Linked DNA regions of Coturnix japonica. Each later gene encodes a partner of the first gene's protein in a complex. Links are inferred from orthologs where the notes say so. Each region holds a gene or a part of one and is shown on either strand. Other genes may lie near its edges. The genes, in order: NCOA5 and ESR2.

What was found.
Region 2: the proteins of NCOA5 (region 1) and ESR2 are in contact, whole or in part, in a crystal structure (PDB 4ZI1), measured with the Homo sapiens proteins. The link is inferred for Coturnix japonica from reciprocal best matches to the Homo sapiens genes NCOA5 and ESR2. Residues at the interface, in NP_066018.1 of Homo sapiens: Ser344, Leu345, Ile346, Leu348, Leu349, Ala350, Asp351; in NP_001428.1 of Homo sapiens: Ile310, Lys314, Phe319, Leu324, Gln327, Val328, Leu331, Glu332, Leu490, Glu493, Met494.

Annotation. Positions count from the first base shown.
Region 1 is NC_029535.1:9,592,179-9,596,089, reverse strand, and holds the start of NCOA5 (nuclear receptor coactivator 5), read left to right. Parts: upstream 1-1,384; 5' UTR 1,385-1,501; intron 1,502-3,516; 5' UTR 3,517-3,540; coding exon 3,541-3,703; intron 3,704-3,911. UniProt on the Homo sapiens protein: Nuclear receptor coregulator that can have both coactivator and corepressor functions.
Region 2 is NC_029520.1:48,239,128-48,242,938, forward strand, and holds part of ESR2 (estrogen receptor beta), read left to right. Parts: intron 1-850; coding exon 851-1,025; intron 1,026-1,745; coding exon 1,746-1,905; 3' UTR 1,906-3,811.

The DNA.
Region 1 (3,911 bases):
ACAGCGCTGGACGGCGGCCCCGGGACCGGAGCTCAGCGGCCCGACGGCGCCGGGCGCTCCCCCCCCACCCCGCAAAGCATCGCCGCATCCCGGTCCCGTTTCGGGCCGTGATCACGGAGCGCAGCGTTGCAGCCCCGGCCCGGCCCCGCTCCCACCCCGCGGGACGCCGCACTTACGTTCAGGAGCAGCGCGCACAGCAGCCCCAGACCGAGCCGCCCCATGGCCCGAGCCGCGCCCATCCGACCCGACCCGAATCGAACCGAGCCGTGCGGAGCCGGGCAGCCGATATTAACGCCTCGACCCGTTTCCGCCCAGGAAGGGGCCGCAGGGGCCGCCCATCCTGCAGTCACCGGGCTGAACGTCCCGAGACAAAGTCCCCACCGGCAGCACCCGCCGCCCCGGGACTTTCCCGAGCTTCAGAGCGTAACCGAGAGCCGTGCGGGGCCGGGGCTGTGCCCGCAGCTCCCCCGCACGGTGCGACCGGCCCGGCCGAGCTACGGGTGGATGTCAGCGTGTAACCGGCTGCTTCCTGGGTGAAGGAGGAGCGGCCGCAGGCAGGAATCTGCCCTGGGAAGCAGAGGAGATGTTTGATCTGGCCCCGACAGCTCCTTCCTCATGCAGAAGTGCGAGGTTTCACTTCACTTTTAAGAAGTCCACAGGGCCCTTCCGTGCTCCCCATGGGCTCCGGCATCTGCTTAGAGTTCCCAGAATCACATCAGCTCAGTACGGGAAGAGGCAGAAGCACAGCAGGGCCCTGAGGCTGCACACAGCCGGGCTGCCTGCCCTGCATCCCGCAGCAATCCCCGTGGAACTTCCCATCCCGTCCCCGTCAGACACTTCCCCATACACAGACGTGCAGGGTGCAGTGTGTGCTGCGGGGGGACTTACACAGTCCGTGCCATCCCAGCACATCATGCAGTCACACTGCACAGCCTCCAGCACAACGTTATGGTGCTGCCATGCTCCCGATGGGCACCACCGCAGGAACGGTGCAGCTCCCGGTGCTGCGGGTGTCTGGCTCCACAGCAAGGCCTCGCTCCGTCCCCAGCCCCAGCTGCATCCTGCAGGACCTGCATCCCTCTGGAGCCCCATGCTGTGCTGCAGCCATGTGCTCTGCATTGCCACCATGCTGCCATTACCCAGCAGCAATGCTGCCATAACCCAGCAGCAATGCTGTCATACCCAGCAGCAATGCTGTCATAACCCAGCAGCAATGCCGCCATTACTCGGACAGCGCCGCCCCGCGGCCGCGCCCCGCCGGACTACAAATCCCATGGTGCATTGCGGCAGCGGGGCATGCCGGGAGCTCAGCCTCCCTCTCTGGCAGCCATGGCGGCTCGCGTTACGTCAGCGCGTCGCGCCGTGCCGTAAAGCGCGACTGAGCGCCCTCCCTTCCGGCCGCTCTCACGTCCGCGCTTTGCGGCGGCGCCGTGCGACAGCGGCGGTTGGCGCCTTTGTCCTGGCGGGCGGCGGCCTGAGGCGGAGCGGGCCCGGTACGGCGGTAAGTGCGCGGCGGAACGCGAGGAGGGAGGAGCGGAACGCGGAGCTCCGCCCTTCCCGGGGCCGAAGGAGGCGGCGGGCGGCAATGGAGGGCAATGGAGGGACCCCGCGGCCGCTGGGAAGGGCCGGGCCGTGCGGCTCGGAGCCTCGCGGGGCGGTTCGGGTTCCGGGCGCCGCCCGTTTGCAGCCGGTGGGGGTTTATGGGTTCGGTGGTGCGGGGCTGAGCCGCGGTTTGTCTGTATGGAGTGACGGAGCTTCAGGCCCGCTAACACCTCTATCTCCGGGCGGGCCCTGCACAGCGGGGTTGGCCCCGGTCGGTGCTCGGGGTGGGGCAGTGAGTATCCAGGCACAGCATTGATATTGGGGTTCCATCCCAACGCCACCCCCACCTGTAGGAAAAGGACGGGAGTATTGAGGGTTTGTATGCAGGAAGGAAAACGTGCCCATGGCAAATGGGGCGCTGTGTGTGTCTGAGCACGGCCCGAACTGCTGACAGGGCCTTGAGCCCATCCTGGGTATAATAAATGTCCAGGTGCCCACCTGGCTGCTGTGTCCCACGTCCTGCCCTGCAGTGCTCAGGTTCTGTTCTGACCCTGCAGAGCGTTTGGTTTCTATCCCTGTAGGACCAGACCTAATGCCTGTGTAAAGGGAAATGGGGTGGGGGCTGCTGCTCTGGATGGAGTGGGTAAAGCTGTGTGTGTGCGTAGCAGGGAAGCAAACCTACAGGAGGACTGGAGTGAATAAGGTGTGTCAGCACCCATGTTTCCTATTGGTTTGTTGGGTGTTTCTGTTCCCTTCCTGTTCTAGAAGCTCAGTTCATATTGAAACAAAGCGTTGCAGTGGGTGATGATCTGTGCCTTCCTGGTTGTGGGAAGGAGGACAAGTGATACCAATGTAAATCTAACGCTCTTTTAAAATAAAAAAAAACAAAATCATAATCAAAATGGTATGTCTGTAATCCTGAACATGCTCATTTCTCATGCTGAGTGTGGTAGAAATACTCTTGTGGAACCATCTGATGCTCTTAGGTGTGTGGTGCATTTATGTAGGTGATGCTTTCAGATTGCAGTGAACGCAGGTTGTCGTTAGGGGCTGTGTTGGTTGGAGGCATCTCATGGCAGATACCGCAAGTCTCTATTGATTTACTCAACTTCACAGTACTTTATGTTTTTAACTTGAGTTCCTCCCTGTCCTGTATTTCTGCGATGGAAGGGATTGCACTTCACTCTTCAGATAGTTTTCAACCTTGTGGGTTCACCTTTTAATGGTGAGTCCTGGGGAAGGGGGGGCTCCTTTGTTTGGGCTACTGGGTGTTGTGGGTGGGTTTGTTTCCTTCCCAGTGTTATGCTGGAGCTGTTGCTGTTGCTGAATGCTGCTGCTGCCTGTAGGGCTGCTGATGTTCCCAGCTGTGGACCCGCCTGCAGTGGGAGGTGGTGTGGTGTGCTGTGGTGGTGGGGCTGCTCAATAGCAGAATGAATAAGAAACTGCTGTCCCCTATGGGAAAGGGATCCAAGTGTAGTCACTTAAGCACGTTTAAAAGTACCCTGTGACATCTCATTTAAAGCCCATCGAGAAATAATTGGATCCTGTTGTGCGATGTTGAGATGAGCGTTTCCTTTCTGCTTATTAACATACCGCTTAAACCTCAGCACTTCTTACCAGTGAACAGAAGAAAAAGATAAGACGATGGGTGTATCGGAAAGCTGCGTTTTCTTCAGTGAGAAATGAGTTTTAATTCTATTTTAGCTCACAGATAAAACACTAAAACACACCCATGAAGTAGATTAGGCTTCCTACCTCTCTGTATTACAGACAGCTCACCCCAGATGCTGCAGTGCACGTTCTTTGTCCACCTTCTGTGTCAGTTGTGTTAAGTTTTCTCTGGAGCGAAGCTTGCGTCAAACAGCCCCGGTTGGCTTCTAGTCTGCAAAGCTGTTAAGTTTAATCTTGTTCCAGTTTTAATTTGAATGTCGTGGATTGAAATGATATGCGTGGCCATTTCTCTTTTTTGCGAAGAGTTGGATTTGGAACGAAAGCAAAATGGCCCGAGGACGCAAGAGCAATAGCATCAAACAGAGCGACTTCACTAACAGCACCAAACCTCAGGATTTAGAGAGAAGACTTTTTATCGGCAATTTGCCCACAGACCACATGACTCGGGAAGAAATGGAAGAGATATTTTCAAAATATGGCAAAATCAGGGGTTAGTATTTTATCTTATGGCTCTTCGTGGCTGGGAATTCAGTCAGAACTATAACTGTCGTGCTTGTCAAATGCTGCTTGCTGCTGATGAGATGAGTGACTAATGCTTCCCCTCAAAAGTGACCTTTAAATGATAACTTTATCTGTTATCTAAAAGTAATTCTTAGAGTACAGCTGAAACCCAGTGCGTATATACCAGCATGCTTTAT
Region 2 (3,811 bases), on another chromosome or scaffold:
GTTTTCTGACTTTGTTTGTAGAACAGAAGCCATTATTTCAACTGACAGCAAAACTCTTCCATTTATTTTTATTTAGCCAAAGGGGGAAAGAAATGCTCATTAGCCGTGGCTTTTCTTAAAAGCTTCACCTCTCAAAAAAACCCTTCTCCTCTCAAGGCTCTCCTTCCTTAGCAAGGTTTATCTGTTACTTCTGTTTTTCGGGGTGTTCTGGAGCTTTCTCCATCCATAAGCATCTTTGGGATTCTCTATCAAGAATACTAGCGAGAGTTTCCAGGCTTTCCTAGTGGCAGTTTCTTCTTTCTCCTCCCCACTCCCCTTTCTTCTGCTTTTGCTGACTTCTGAGGGGTCTCATGGTAGGCAGGTGCTGTCCTGTGGCACCATGGTGAGCTGTTGGGAGCCTACAGCGGTCAGTAAGAATAGCTGCTCTCCTCCTTCCCTTGGATTTACTTGGAGAAGAAAGGGGTTTCTTTTCAGCATGAACGAAACTAAAATGTATGGTGTAATGTGATTCAAAGGAAAAAGCCCTGGAGAATGGAGAACATGTCTGCTTCCCCACAGACAGAGAGCTCAGAGCTCAGTCTGACTGTGGAGTCTATGTTCAATGTGTTGTCTTGGGAGGATTTGGGAGAGTCAATCACTATGCAATCGATGCAGAAATCCAATTTGGATGAAGAAATACAAGCTGAAGCTTGGTGTGTTACATGCAGTGCTGTTTGCATTGTGTTGGGCTGTGTGAATGTGTGTCAGGAAATACAACTTTTCTTATCCTGTGAATTATTACATTGGAAGATGACCCATGGTCGTAGTTTTTTGTGCCTCACAAGCAGGATTTCTTTGTCTTCTCTGCTAGGCATGTTTCCCTTGTCAGCAGAAGAACCCGAAAGCAACAGGAAGCTGCACCACCTGCTCAATGTGGTCACAGATGCTCTGGTGTGGGTTATTGCAAAGAGTGGGATCCCTTCCCAGCAGCAAACAACTCGCCTGGCCAACCTGTTGATGCTGCTCTCCCATGTCAGACATGCAAGGTAAATCTTACAGGATGTGAGAGATATACCAGTTGTTTGTGTTTGCTTCTTAGAGTGACAGAGTCAGTCTAGAACTCCACAGTGCCCCTGAGGGATGCTCTTCATCTCTGTTTTGTAAGACTATCCTTCCTAGTATGGCTAAATAGGCAATGATCCCACACTCTGGCATAGTGATATGGTAGTGATACAACTGCAGAGATCTCAGTCAGCAAAGTGTCATCATAGCTGGCTGTATGACAGAAGAAAAGAGGATTCTTAAAGCCTGTAGTTATCTGCAAGATCTAACACTGGACATGCAGAGAGGAAGCCAACTGCTTGAAGTTAGCCACTATCATATGGTCTTCCCTCTCAGCCAGTTGGGAGACGTAGGTTGTTAATGTGGTGTGAATTCCCCTTTCATTTACAACTGCAGCACATGGGTCTCCCATGTCTATGGCACCAAAGAAGCTTTCTCTTTCATCTCAATAGGAGTGATACATCTGGATTATTTTCTGATGACAGTTTGGGTCAGAAAGCACAAATCTTGGTTCTCTAGATGGTAGATCACAGCCTGAGTGCATTAGGATGTTGTTACTGCTGTTAGCAGTAGGTGATCCCACAGACTGCAGCAGTTATGTCTCTTAACTCATAAAAAAGAAACTCCTGAAACCATGAGTGTTTTCCTTCTCTGTACTGTCAGACCTGCATCACTGACTTTATTTTCTCTGTTTTCCTTCGCAGTAACAAGGGCATGGAGCATCTGCTGAGCATGAAGTGCAAAAACGTGGTCCCAGTGTATGACCTGCTGCTGGAAATGTTGAACGCGCACACGCTCCGAGGGCAAAGAAAGTCCCCAGTCACACATCCTGACTTTGAACAAGTTTCACATTTCCAGGTCTGAACAGAACTACGGGGCTGCCCTGTAATGCAGGCTGTACCCAGCCTCCATTTACTGAAAGTTATGGGAGAAAACTAAGCTGCTGTGATGGGACTGCAGGAGCGTGACCTGGTGCGAGTCCTCATCTCTCCTAGATTTACTGTGGGATACCTTGGGAAAAGCTTGCGAGGCGCACACCTCTGTCTGTTTCTGACATTATAATAGCTGCACTTTTATAGTGCCTTCTGTGAGACTCTTAAAAGCACCTTATGAAATTAAGCCTCAGAACAGTCCTGCAAGACAGGGAATTATCGCCTCTCCTTTTTAAAAGCAACTGAGACAAAGAGATAAAGTGACCGGGTTGAGATGACAGAGGTCTGTGTCGGGGCCAGGGGTCAGGGCCTTGCTCTCTGTGTCCCAGCCCAATCCTTTTGAGCACTGACTAACTGATCTCCTTTCAGTGTGAGGCAGTATGAAATATACAGCAGCAGTGTTTGGGATGGATCTGCTTACCTGTGCGTGCTGGGCACTGGGGAATGCTGCTTTGCAGGTGATGTGCACAGTGTAAAGGAGTTTTCTTTGTTCTTAAATATGCAATGGCTGCGTGGGCCCTTGTTTGAGGGCCATTCTGAATAGCATCTTGGGCCAGTTCAGAGCCTCTTCAGAAATGTGAAACCAAGCTTACATTTGCGTTTTGTGAGCAAGTTCTTAACACCCATGTTATTACTTGTGTATAATTCCTCAGCGCTTTAAACCAGCACCAAACTGCCACCTTCTTTCAGTCAGTGCTGACCTTTGAAATGTGTTCTGTCTGTGGGATGCAGATGTTGTTTTATATATTTATTAACGATGTTGAATCTATTATAACGTTTAGGTACAAAAGGTTGCTCTGTGAACATTGTGTGCGTTCATATATGCTCTGCTAACCGGGGCTTGTGAGATCAGCGGGGAAACGCACTGCATTCCCTCCCGTTCTGACTGCCTGTGGGTCTGGGTCCTGCCCACCCCAACCTCACTGTAGAGGCAGGGGATGGGAGGCTGAGCAGAGCTGCTGCCCTCAGGTTTGCTGCTTGCTTGTTCTCCAAGTGTGTGACACCTGAAGCTGTTCCTTATTTTGTGCAGGATCCTTCAGAGGTTTGTTTCACAGGCGCGATGGCTCATTGGAGTTGAATGTCACTTGGGATGCAGGCTGAGGCCTCCCTGTAGTGCTGATTTCTGCATGTGTTTAAGACACCTTCTAAGGAAAATAATGCAGGGAAATATCACATCTGACCACCTCACCATTTGTTCCAGTCACTGCCAATATTGCATTTTGATGTGAGCTACGATTGCAGTTGCTATCAGTGGAGGCGTTTATAATACATGCATGTTCTTGGCATTGCAGGTGCGGTGACATTAAACTGGGACTACCCCCAAAAGTCCATTTTGAGCCTAAGTCTTTTGGATGAGGGACTTTGCGCCGTTCCCCCTTTGCATGCTTTGAGTTCCTTGCAGACCCTTCACCCTGGTGTTTTTTGAAGCCCGGGACAGTATTTTTATAGGAGGGGCATAAAGCACCATCAGAGAGTTGCACAAATTTCTTGTCTTGATTTTGATCTTGTACTATACGGGATGCTGCTGCTGCCTGGGTTTTTACTGGCTACCTTTCTATTGTTTTTAAGAGCTGTAATATAGCAGCGCCCTTCTCACCTATCTCATATTTACTACAAAAAGAAGAAAACAAAAAGGGAAAAAAAAAGTAAGTTCAGTTCTTGAATTCATTGGCTCCTTACTCATCTGGAGGGAAGTTTTGCTGTCAAATCACATCCTTGGGTGCCATCACCTCCCGGCCTCCCCACGATGTAGTTCTGTTCCTCTGGTTTTCCTTCTCCTGTGTGTTTGTTTTGTTTAATACAGCTTGTTTTCAAAGAAACACCAAAGTGCTATTTTT